3 linked regions of the Alligator mississippiensis genome follow. Each later gene encodes a partner of the first gene's protein in a complex. Links are inferred from orthologs where the notes say so. Each region holds a gene or a part of one and is shown in the gene's direction. Other genes may lie near its edges.

Region 1 (2,927 bases):
GGTAGGTTTTTGGGGTGCAGACAGAGACCCAGGCCCAACCTGACGACAGGTGGAAGCTCCTGAGCATGTTTAAACCAGGGTGCAAATTAAGAGGGAGCGGCAGAGGGGGGGGGGGCAAGCCGAGAACCCCCTTTAAGATTTCAAAACCATAACCTGGGGAAGGGGGTAGGGCGCCTCTGTTTGGTTTGCTCCTTCTCTTAGGTATACTTCTTAATCCATGAACCAGACTTTTTTTTGCAGACCCCCCCCGAAGAGTCAAAGTGTAAATCTAAACCTAGTTTAAACCACTTTGTAACCTTCTTAACTCCTAAAGCCAGCACAGGCCCAGGGGCACATGCTCATTTAGCTCCTACGTGCCTTTCAGGGCAGAGCACACCAGTTCCTCCTTGACTTAAACTAACCCCAGACGAGCCTGACTTTGACCAGGAGCGTCTACACAGCCCCGTTTCATGGATCTGCCTAAACCCACCAATTCTTGCACATCAGGTGGCCATAACTCAAGGGTGACGGGAGCTAAACGATATGAACCAGGCCGCAGGCTGCCTTACTGCAGGCACCCCCTGCAATCCTGTTCAGCCAAATAAAGGGGCAAGGCTTTTGTACTACAGAGCGGCTGGACGGGCTCTGGGGCACCAAGAATGGCCCTCCCCTCCCCAGGGCTAGTACTAATGCTGGGGCGCGGGCCTGGCGCTCCTCCCTGCGCAGCAAAGTGCCCCACGTGCAGCCCAGGCCACAGCCCACCTGCAGAGGCCCCGCAAGCGCAGTGGCAGGGCGCACGCTGCCCCTGCCACCACCCGGGATCGTCACCACGCAACCCCGCCCCACTCTGGGTGAGGGCAGCAGCCTCACGACACTAACGCGCATGCTCGCTGTTGGCGGCGTTCTGATCCCGTCACGCCCCAGCCCTGCGTCGGGCGCGAAGGGCGGGGGCGTGCCCCTTCTCCGTGCCCGTAGCCGGTGGGCGGGGCCGTGCCTCAGCCCCGGAAGGAAGCTCCGCTCTGCCGAGCCGGAGTTGTATGACCCGGCACGATTCCGCCGCCGCCAGCAGCATGTTCCGCATCGAGGGGCTAGGGCCCAAGATGGACCCGGAGGAGCTGAAGCGGAAGATGCGGCGCGATGTGCTCACCTCAGTCCGCAACTTCCTCATCTACGTGGCGCTGCTGCGTGTCGGTAAGGGGTGGCGCGGCCACGTGCGCGGGGCTCGGCCTGGGGCTGCTGCCCCCCTGGCCCGGGCAACTCCTGTGTAGCTCAGCCAGGTGTTAAGTACGAAACGATCGTATTGGAAGTCCCCAAATGATCGTGTTTGCTGAAAATACCCTGCCAATAAGCCTCTTCCTACTGATTCCATATCGGTCACTGTATGTGGCCAGTGAGCAAGTGAGATCGGGGTCGTGCAAGTTGAAGCATTTCTTTATTTTGAGGTGAGCTCACAAGGAAGGGTTGGCAGCACACCCAAAAGTCAGTTAAGACTCCTTGAGAGTGACGTGGGTTTTACATGTGCTGCATCGATGAGCTGCCTCAAAATTATCGTGCGTGTTGAACAGTTACTGATCGTACATCGTACAAGGGTTGGAATGATCATACAGATATGATAATTATTGTACACCTGGCAGCACTGCTCAGATAAGTCCTGCCCCACGGGCTCTGGTTGCAGTGCGCACACAGCCCAGGGCTTGCAGCTGTTTATAAACCTGCTCATTTGCACTTAGTTTATATCTTGGCTGTCCTGTCTCTTTCAGCTCCTTACATCTTAAAGAAGCTGGATAGTATATGAATACAGAAGAGCTGCAAAGAGGAGGCTGGGTACATGAAAACACAAAATGGACAGTGGCTGCTTTTCCCTTTTAAGAAGCGTGGTGCCAAGGTCAGACTTCACCTGTGGAATGGATCTGGAAAATGATTATGTTAAACATTTGACTTTGAGAACAGGAGCCTAGCTTGAAGTATGGAAAAATGGTTATTATCCCTGCAGCTGACTCGAGGTCACACAGTGCTCCTGTGTGTCTGCATACAACTTTTTTTTTTTTTTTAAAGATTATGTTGGTACCACTCATACTGTATGTTTAAAAATTGTATCGAACTCCATATTTTTTTTAGAAAGTGTTAAATGTAAGCAAACTGTTCTGGAGCTACCTCTGAAATATCACAGCTGTGGCTGTCAATCTTACTGATCCTGTCTCCATGTGAAGATTAAAATGGTTTGAACCCTGAAACTAGTAAAACCACCGGGGAGAAGCTGTTAACTTGAATCCAGTTCCCTATGGATTTTTGTTGTTGAAATAAAATGGAAGAACAATTCTGTTATTTCAGGCACAGTCCAGTAGTGCTCTATTTTTAATAAAATCAGTTCCATAAATGTCCTGGGATCTTGTATTTACTCTGGGCCATTGTCTCCTTTAAACATATTTTCCTCTTGCAAACAGATTGAGAGAAATAAGAGAATGAAATTGGCAGGGCAAGGAGCACTCATCGTACTTCCGTGTAGGACAGTTCATGCCCTCCAGAGTTTACAGTGTAAGTAGACTATACTCGTAGTTGGTAGATGGAGAGAAAGGAGGTGACCTGCCAAATTCACCTCCTGGCCTATGTCAAAGAATCCTAGAAAAGCATGCCTGGAAGGGGGGACCCTTCATAGCCCCTGCTCAGGGGAGGAATCTGTTTGTAAATCAATTTATATACGTGTTTGTTTAACTTAGTTGTAAATCTATGCAACCCCCCTGCTCGACTATGGGGCGCACGTGAACAATCCCAGGAAGAGGACCATGCCCCATGCTACACTGGAAGGCAACACTCCCCCACAATCCATACTTATTTGACTGGGATAAAATGCTTTTCTGACCCCAAATATAGTGATTGGTTTGACCTTGAATTGAAAAGCAAGATCCTCTAATCAGTAATCCAGGTTTTTTTAGTCCCAACAGAGACAT
Region 2 (3,754 bases), on another chromosome or scaffold:
AAAAATCAGTGGTCTTGCCAGAAAACAAAACTCTGCAACTGGAGGCTTAGGGAAGGTTTACACTCATCGTTTCAGAAGTCCTGCATGGCTACTTCCTACTCATATGAGCCTTCAACATATAGCCTGTACATTACAAATATCAAGTCCCAACAGTTAATCATGCCATATATTCTATTATTTCTCCTATATTATTTGGGAGACATCTTATGGCATATTTGCCTTAATGGTAGTTGCAACCAGCTAAATTCATTAGCATATCTAACATATACCCAGTTCTTACCCCATGTGGAGAGGGGGCGGGGTGTAGGCACTGAAAACAGATGTGTAGTATCCATATATACAGAAAGTTGTATTAGACAAAGTAGTACCAAAAGGCATGGTTAAAACACAGGCTTGAGAACCTAGAGATCTGAAATTCTTCTCTTCAGTTTTTTTGTCTGAAAAATGGGGGTAATATCTCAAGAAGGCAATATGAAGCTTAATTAATTACTTTTTAATAAAGAACTGAACATGGCTAGTATGTATGCAGTTCAAACAGAAGTAAGAGAGGGAAATTCCCAATAGTACAGCAGGAGTGAGAAGTACTCCTTCTGTTTGCTGACTGGTCTCACAGGTGCAAGCCATTGCACACATTTCTTATAGCAAATTCCATTATTCTGCTTCAGTGAATTAGGGAACCTGGGCTTCTCTGAACCAGGCTCAGTTTTGACAAGAGAGTTCTATTTGCATTTATATATTTACATGTAGTTATTTGAAAGCTCTTATATTTTGTTATCAGAAAATCTTGATCCCTTTAAAAGCAGAAGACTCAGAGTGTCCTTCCTCTTCAAAAAGGCCTTAAAATAGCTCCTCCTACAAGGGGCAAGGTCTTACCAATGTAGACAGCTTAGAATCCCTAGAGTTTTATAGAGCTGCAGCACAGCAGTACTTACTATGCTTGTTCTCTAAGCTATAGGGAAGAATGTTAAGGGATATGGAGATCTCACTAGAAAGGAAAAAGAAGAAGGAAAAGAATCGGTCGTTAAGTAAAAAAAAAAAACAACACAAGAGAAAAAGTAAGTATGTGTGTCCCCAGTTGGCTATTAGCTTCTTCTCTGAAGTTTCTTATTTTCTCATTCTTTTTGCTACAATAGGATCAATTAGAATGGATCATGCCCATACTTATACAAAAGAAGCAAGCAAAATTTACAGTAAGCAGCAGTATTAGTACTTACTACAGAGCCAAAGTGATTCTCCAGAACTAATAGATTTCCCCTAGAAGTGGTGCAAGCACCTACTCTGGATACCTTCAAGAAATACTTGGATGCTTATCTTGCTGGGATGATCTGACCCCAGCTGACTTCCTGCCCTTTGGGTGGGGGCTGGACCCGATGATTTCACGGGGTCCCTTCCAGCCCTAATGTCTATAAAACTAATGGCACAGAGACTTCCCTCAGTTCAGACAGGATGCAGAATTTCAGAGCTCTAGGCCTTCCTGCAGCCACTCTGTTCCTTGAATCCTTCTCTTTCCTACTCCCAAAACTCTGATGACCTACAACATTTTAAAAATCTGCTGCTGTTATTGTGAAGGGCTGGCAACATCTGCATTGGCACCAGTTCAAATTAACTGGTACAAACACCTGAATAGACGCTTATTTTTTTTTTTTAAATGTTTATCTTAAATCTGTTCCCAATTGGGTTAAATTAAAGTGAAGAAGTCTGGTTTAAATAAATTCTCTTGCACCAGTTTAACTAAATTGGTTTAATTTTTTTATCTGTAGCTAACTTGATGCAGCTGAGGTGGTTGACAAGCTCTTAACACAGATCATCTGTTGCGATCCATCTTAACCACACAGCTCTGTGGGGTTTTTTAGGTGTCTGGGGTGGGGTTTTTTTCTTGCCTTTGGATTGTCTTGATTATTGATAAATGCAAGTTTGAATTAGTGCTTTATTGTTAATTTATTATATTTGTATTCAACTTTAACTCCAGCTTCGTTTTACATGCTTAGCATGATGGATATGCAGACCTTATGACTAAGCTAGTAAATTTTCATATCAACTTTACAATGTGGCTTCTGTGATCACTTTTTCCACCAAACCCAGGCAGGTTTCACTGACAGCAGCCTTGTGCACCCTGACAAAGACTTGCAGTGTGTGTATGTAAAGTGGTGCTGACTAAGAAATACAGGCTGTAGGAAATGTGTGAATGGTAAAGATAGTTGAGGCAAAAGTAAGACCGTATACACATTGGTGAGTATTTACAGAATGATGGTATCAGAACTAGCCAAACTCTGAGAGGGCTACCTACTTATGTACTTTTTCCTTTCATGGCATATCACCACTGTAGCTCCAGTGACCATCCCCTTCTCTTGGAGATTTAGGCAATGAGGGGTGGTTGAAGGGTTTTGATCTCTTTATGCTAGCATGTTGATACAAGGGAGTGTGTGCGTTCTTTCTTCAGATACAGTGTATATAACATCTAGTAAGCCAGATGATTCATTATTGTTCCATAAGGGTGGGGCGGTAATTACTTGTATTTTTAGATTCCTTAAAATGATGCCAAAACATAACTAAAGTTTTAAGTTCTGAATTCGGGAAGGTACATTGTCCATTTTATATAAATATATTCTGAATGAATAATGGCTTTGAACAATGGACTGTTATAGGCAACAATCAGTATTTTACTTTAATAAGACCCCTATTTCTAATGTATAGTCCAACCAGTACTAAAGCATACTGATTTTTCTCATTCCCTTTTCATCCCAATTTCCGTTCCCTCTTTTTGTATGTTCTCTCATGAGGAATTCGCCTAACTTCTGCTATACAATACTTATCTTCTGTGTCTAAATGTACTAATCTGTGGGGGCTTGGGGGGTGAAAGCATTTCTGTTGGAAGGGGAAACTGCATTGAGGCATGTCTTTGCATGCCACTTTATGGGTGCTGAATACTTCATACCCTACTGCCAAACTGCTCTTTGGCCCACTATTGCACTAGTGACTCAATGATTTCAGCTGTAAGGAGTGTCATAAGGCACGTTGCACTACACTGACTGCTGCAGAACAGTCGTGTGATACTCCGTCTAGCTATTTTCCACAAGGGATCTCCTCAGCCATCAGAGAATCGCTGCAAAAAGTTTTTTGTTTTGTCAGCATCCTGATTTTCTTTAACAGTTTATGGTAATTTAGGACTAAAACTTGTAAGCGAAGAATCCTAGCCAGAATATATACACATTCCAGAAAAGACTGAGGACATCTGCCTTACATGATGTGTAAGTGCACTAGCAGTATCAGGGCACCCACTTTTCATGGTGGGAAATCAGGACAGCGTAGGAGGGCATCCAGAGCGTGGTGCTAGCGAGGTGTAAGGGTTAACACAGTTAACACAGAAGGCTTTTGGTGCTGGAGGCGAGGGAGAACTGTGCAGTAGGGATGGTGAGAAGGAGGGTGGCAGTAAGACAGGCCAGAGGCAAGCTTGTAATCCTTAAACTACATGTTTATTAGTGATCTCTGGTTTAGCTCCCTACAGCTCCTTCCTGTTGCTCCTAGGTGCAGCCTGACTTCTCTGTGTATGCCTAAAAATAAATGCAATGACCAGATTTTAAAGCAAAACCAAGAAGTCCTGGGTTTATTTTGTTTCACCCCCTTCTGCCCTTCCCCGACCTTTGACTCCCCGTGAGGGGACAGGGCCATCATTTGGGTAATGTTTTAGGCCCGGTGCCGATGGGCGCTTGCTTATCTTCATTTAAGGCTCGAAGGGCAGAGATCTTTCCCCGTG
Region 3 (3,754 bases), on another chromosome or scaffold:
TGCATGGTGCGCACAGCCACACAACGCAACACACAGGACAGTGCACGGTGCGCACAGCCACACAGCGCAACACACAGGACAGTGCACGGTGCGCACAGTGACACAGCGCAACACATGGGGCAGTGCATGGTGCGCACAGCCACACAGCGCAACACACAGGACAGTGTACAGTGCGCACAGCCACACAGCGCAACACACAGGACAGTGCACGGTGAGCACAGTGACACAGCGCAACACAGAGGACAGTGCACGGTGCGCACAGCCACACAGCGCAACACACAGGGAAGTGCATGGTGAGCACAGTGACACAGCGCAACACAGAGGACAGTGCACGGTGCACACAGCCACACAACGCAACACACAGGACAGTGCACGGCGCGCACAGTGACACAGCGCAACACACAGTGCACACTGTAGTAACACAGAGCAGCATTCAATGCAGAGTAACACAGGCACAGCCTGCACAGCCCGCACAGCTACACAGAGCTGCGCACACCTGATGTGCACGACAAGCACACAAGGAAACCGAGTTGACACTGCCTGGCTGGGGCTGCACACACACACACACACACACACACACACACACAGATATATAATATATATAATATGCTTTAGATATATAAAATGTGTGTTATATGTTATATAAAATTTAGAGTGTATATATAAATATATATATTATATATACATGATATATATAATTATATATAATATAGATAGTATATATATAAATATATAAATTATATATATATATATACATATATAATATATAATTATATATAAAATATATATACATATATAAATATATACATTATATATATAAATATATATACATTATATATATAATTCTATATATGTAGTATATACTATATATTTATAGTACTACTATAAATAGTAGTACTATAGTATTTACTATATATATATATATATATATATATAGAACATATCTGTTTATATATATTTTATATAATTTTATATATATATTATGTATATCTCTATATCTCTCTCTCTGATAGATATAAAAATAACAGACACACGCACACGTGTACACACACGTGCTGACACGCCTCCCACCTCGCTCCACGCCCAGCCCGTCGGGCCCCGCCCCGCCCCGCCCCGCACACGTCACAGCGGGGGGCGGGGCGGGGCGAGGCCGGGCCGGGGGCAGGCGAGCGGCGATGTCGGTGCGGCGGGCGCTGTGGCGGGGCGCGGCGCTGTGGCGGTCGCTGGTGCAGCGCTGGGGCCCGCGGCGGCACGTGCTCCTCGCGCCGCCGCCCGCCCGCCGCCTGCCGCCCGCCCCGCCGCGCCGGGGCCTGGCGCCGGGGCCGAGGCCTGGGCTGGGGCTGGGGCTGGGCCGCGGGCCGGGGCTGGCGCTGGGCCTGGCCTTGCTGCAGCAGGGGCTGGACGAGCAGCGCCGGGCCGCGGGCGCCTGCAGCCGCATCCAGGTGCGGGCCGGGCCGGGCTCCTGTCCCCTCTGCTCCCCCCTGCCCCGCCCCGCCCGCTCCTCCTGCCTTCGCGTTTACTTCATCGCTTTAGTTAAACTAGATTTCACCGATGTTATTTCTTTATTTATTAGGGTCAGAAGGGAGCTTGGCAGGTCATGGAGTCCGAGCCCCTGCCCTGGGCTTGGTGCTTGTCCAGTCTCTTGAAGGCCCCCGGGGTGGGAGAGTGCACCACCTCCCTGGGAAGCTCATTTTGGCAACACTCGCTGAATGTTTTCCTAATGTCCATCCAAAAGTGCTCCCCGCCAGTTTGTGGCCGTTGTTCCTAGCAGCTGCAAGGGGCGTCTCCTCTTCCTTGCTGCCCTGTGAATTTGTAGACAGCTGCAAGATCCCCTCTCAGCTTGCTTTTGCAGAGGCTGCAGAGATGCAAGTCCTTCAGTCTCTCCCCGTAGGATCTAACCTGCAGGCCCATAACCATGCGAGCGGTCCTCTGGGCCGTCTCCAGGTTATCTGCATCCCGTGTGCGGTGCGGTGCCGTGTGGCGCCCAGACCTGGACGCCGTGCTCCCGCTGTGGTCTGCCCAGCGCTGCACAGAGGGGAAGTGTCACCTCCCTGCACCTGCTCGTGATGGCTTCATCGCGTTGACGACTCCTGTTCGTTTTGGAGTCAGCCGTGACTCTGAGATCACTAGTGTGACTGTGAGCCTGGCGGGGCCCAGACTGTGATCACATCCAACTGCACACCTCTGATTGCAGGATTGGGACCTTTATTCCCTTGCCTTTTTTAGGCACGCTTCCTTCTTTAGCATCGTCTTCATTTCTGATTCTGTGCACCCTCCACCTCCTCTTCTTTCCATGTTTCTCTAGATCCATCCCTGCTCATTTTCCCCTCGCTGATTCCCTCCTCTAACTAACCAGCTGGCAGTTTCAGCTGCTATAAAGCTCCAGGCCTCTTTAGTCCATCTGCCTTTCCTCTTAATCAGGTTTTCTTTTAAACATTACTTTATGGAGTTGTGCAGAGAGGGAGGTAAGCACAACGTTAAATCCTCTTTTATGGGGATCTCGCCACCTTTCTCTGCAGAAGTTATCGTGTAGATGAACCAAGTGTTTTTCCCCCTCTTGTGTTCAAACGTGTATTTGTCTACGCTACAAATTGAGACTTGTCTGCGATAAAAGACTTGGTGGGTGATGGAGTGTCAGTTAGCTTGAACGTATTTTCGATATAACTTGGCGTAGTGAGCTGTGTGTGTACTTCAATAGAAAGTCTGTATTCCATATTTGCAATGTGGTCGTAAGCCCTTATTCAGCTTGTTTTCTATCTCTGCAATGGACTGGGTGTGAAATTTTGGGCAAACCCCCATATAAGTTAGTAAAAGATTTGCCCCAATAGTTAGTAAAATTTCCCCAGTGTTAGACATAACTTACGCTGGTTAAAAAAAAAAAGTGTTTGGCTACAACCAGCACTTTCATGCCAACATAATTGCATTTGCCATAGGACTTTTGTAGTCCTAGAGGTGTTGCAGAAAGCCCCTACACCTCTGGTCCCTTCTACCAACAAGCAATTCTCGAGACCTGGCTGTGACCACATTTAAACTGGATAATAACCCCACCAGGTTAGTGGGAGGGTTGACATAAAGATCTCGGAGGGTTAACATTAATAAAGAAAGGATGCTAGAGAAGCAAAGAGTACCACCAATCATTAAATGCTTGCTTTATTCCTGAATGCTAATTTGAAATGTCCAAATTGATTGAGTTGATATTTGTGGATTGGGTTTTCTGTGCTCCAGTAGGCTCTAGTTTAAAGTGCTGGAATATGTAAAGGTTTTCATTTGACAACTGTGTTGACCTTTTAGTATGGGTCCTGGCATGAACACTCTTGAGCACACCCTGTAACTTCCGTAGCAAAATAGCTCTGCTTTTTGAATTATTGAGTAATTCTTGCATTCTTTGCAGACAATATTTGTCAGGAAGAACAAGCCGCTGAAAGATCCACTGAGCTGTTTCCGCTGGCAGGGCTTCAAACTGGAAGAGTACCGCATTGGCCAGCCCATTGGGAAAGGATGCAGCGCAGCTGTCTATGAAGCAGCGATTCCTTTAACTTCCGGCTGGGGCCCGGATCCACGGCGGGCCCATGGCTCGGCTGTTGAGGCTGCCGAAGAAAACCCTACACAAGCGACCCAGCAAAATACCTCTTTCCCATTAGCAATCAAAATGATGTGGAACATTTCGGTAAGGAAGTAGGTTTTATTCTTCTAGTGTGTCACTTGTGAAGTTTGGGTGAAATGTTAACCACCGATGTGTTGAAAGCTCTTAATT

Evidence for each region.
Region 2: the proteins of TOMM5 (region 1) and VDAC2 are in contact, whole or in part, in a cryo-EM structure (PDB 9EII), measured with the Homo sapiens proteins. The link is inferred for Alligator mississippiensis from reciprocal best matches to the Homo sapiens genes TOMM5 and VDAC2. Residues at the interface, in NP_001001790.1 of Homo sapiens: Ile25, Arg29, Leu32, Ile33, Ala36, Arg39, Val40, Phe43, Ile44, Lys47; in NP_001171752.1 of Homo sapiens: Val38, Thr60, Gly63, Asp239, Tyr258, Gln260, Thr261, Leu262, Leu268, Leu270, Val286, Leu288.
Region 3: the proteins of TOMM5 (region 1) and PINK1 are in contact, whole or in part, in a cryo-EM structure (PDB 9EII), measured with the Homo sapiens proteins. The link is inferred for Alligator mississippiensis from reciprocal best matches to the Homo sapiens genes TOMM5 and PINK1. Residues at the interface, in NP_001001790.1 of Homo sapiens: Met1, Phe2, Arg3, Ile4, Gly6, Leu7, Ala8, Lys10, Leu11, Asp12, Pro13, Glu14, Met16, Lys17, Arg18; in NP_115785.1 of Homo sapiens: Gln484, Ala488, Gln491, Ser495, Lys496, Pro498, Val502, Lys520, Leu522, Lys523, Leu524, Met527, Glu565, Cys568, Gln569, Ala571, Leu572, Leu573, Cys575, Ser576, Trp577, Ala579, Ala580.

The regions. Positions count from the first base shown.
Region 1 is NC_081826.1:147,975,150-147,978,076, reverse strand, and holds TOMM5 (mitochondrial import receptor subunit TOM5 homolog), read left to right. Parts: upstream 1-902; 5' UTR 903-1,016; coding exon 1,017-1,170; intron 1,171-1,739; coding exon 1,740-1,774; 3' UTR 1,775-2,356; downstream 2,357-2,927.
Region 2 is NC_081829.1:27,930,583-27,934,336, forward strand, and holds the start of VDAC2 (voltage-dependent anion-selective channel protein 2), read left to right. Parts: upstream 1-958; 5' UTR 959-961; coding exon 962-1,055; intron 1,056-3,451; exon of another isoform or gene 3,452-3,551; intron 3,552-3,639; exon of another isoform or gene 3,640-3,754. UniProt on the Homo sapiens protein: Non-selective voltage-gated ion channel that mediates the transport of anions and cations through the mitochondrion outer membrane and plasma membrane.
Region 3 is NC_081836.1:5,554,743-5,558,496, forward strand, and holds the start of PINK1 (serine/threonine-protein kinase PINK1, mitochondrial), read left to right. Parts: upstream 1-1,161; 5' UTR 1,162-1,175; coding exon 1,176-1,442; intron 1,443-3,391; coding exon 3,392-3,667; intron 3,668-3,754. UniProt on the Homo sapiens protein: Serine/threonine-protein kinase which acts as a sensor of mitochondrial damage and protects against mitochondrial dysfunction during cellular stress.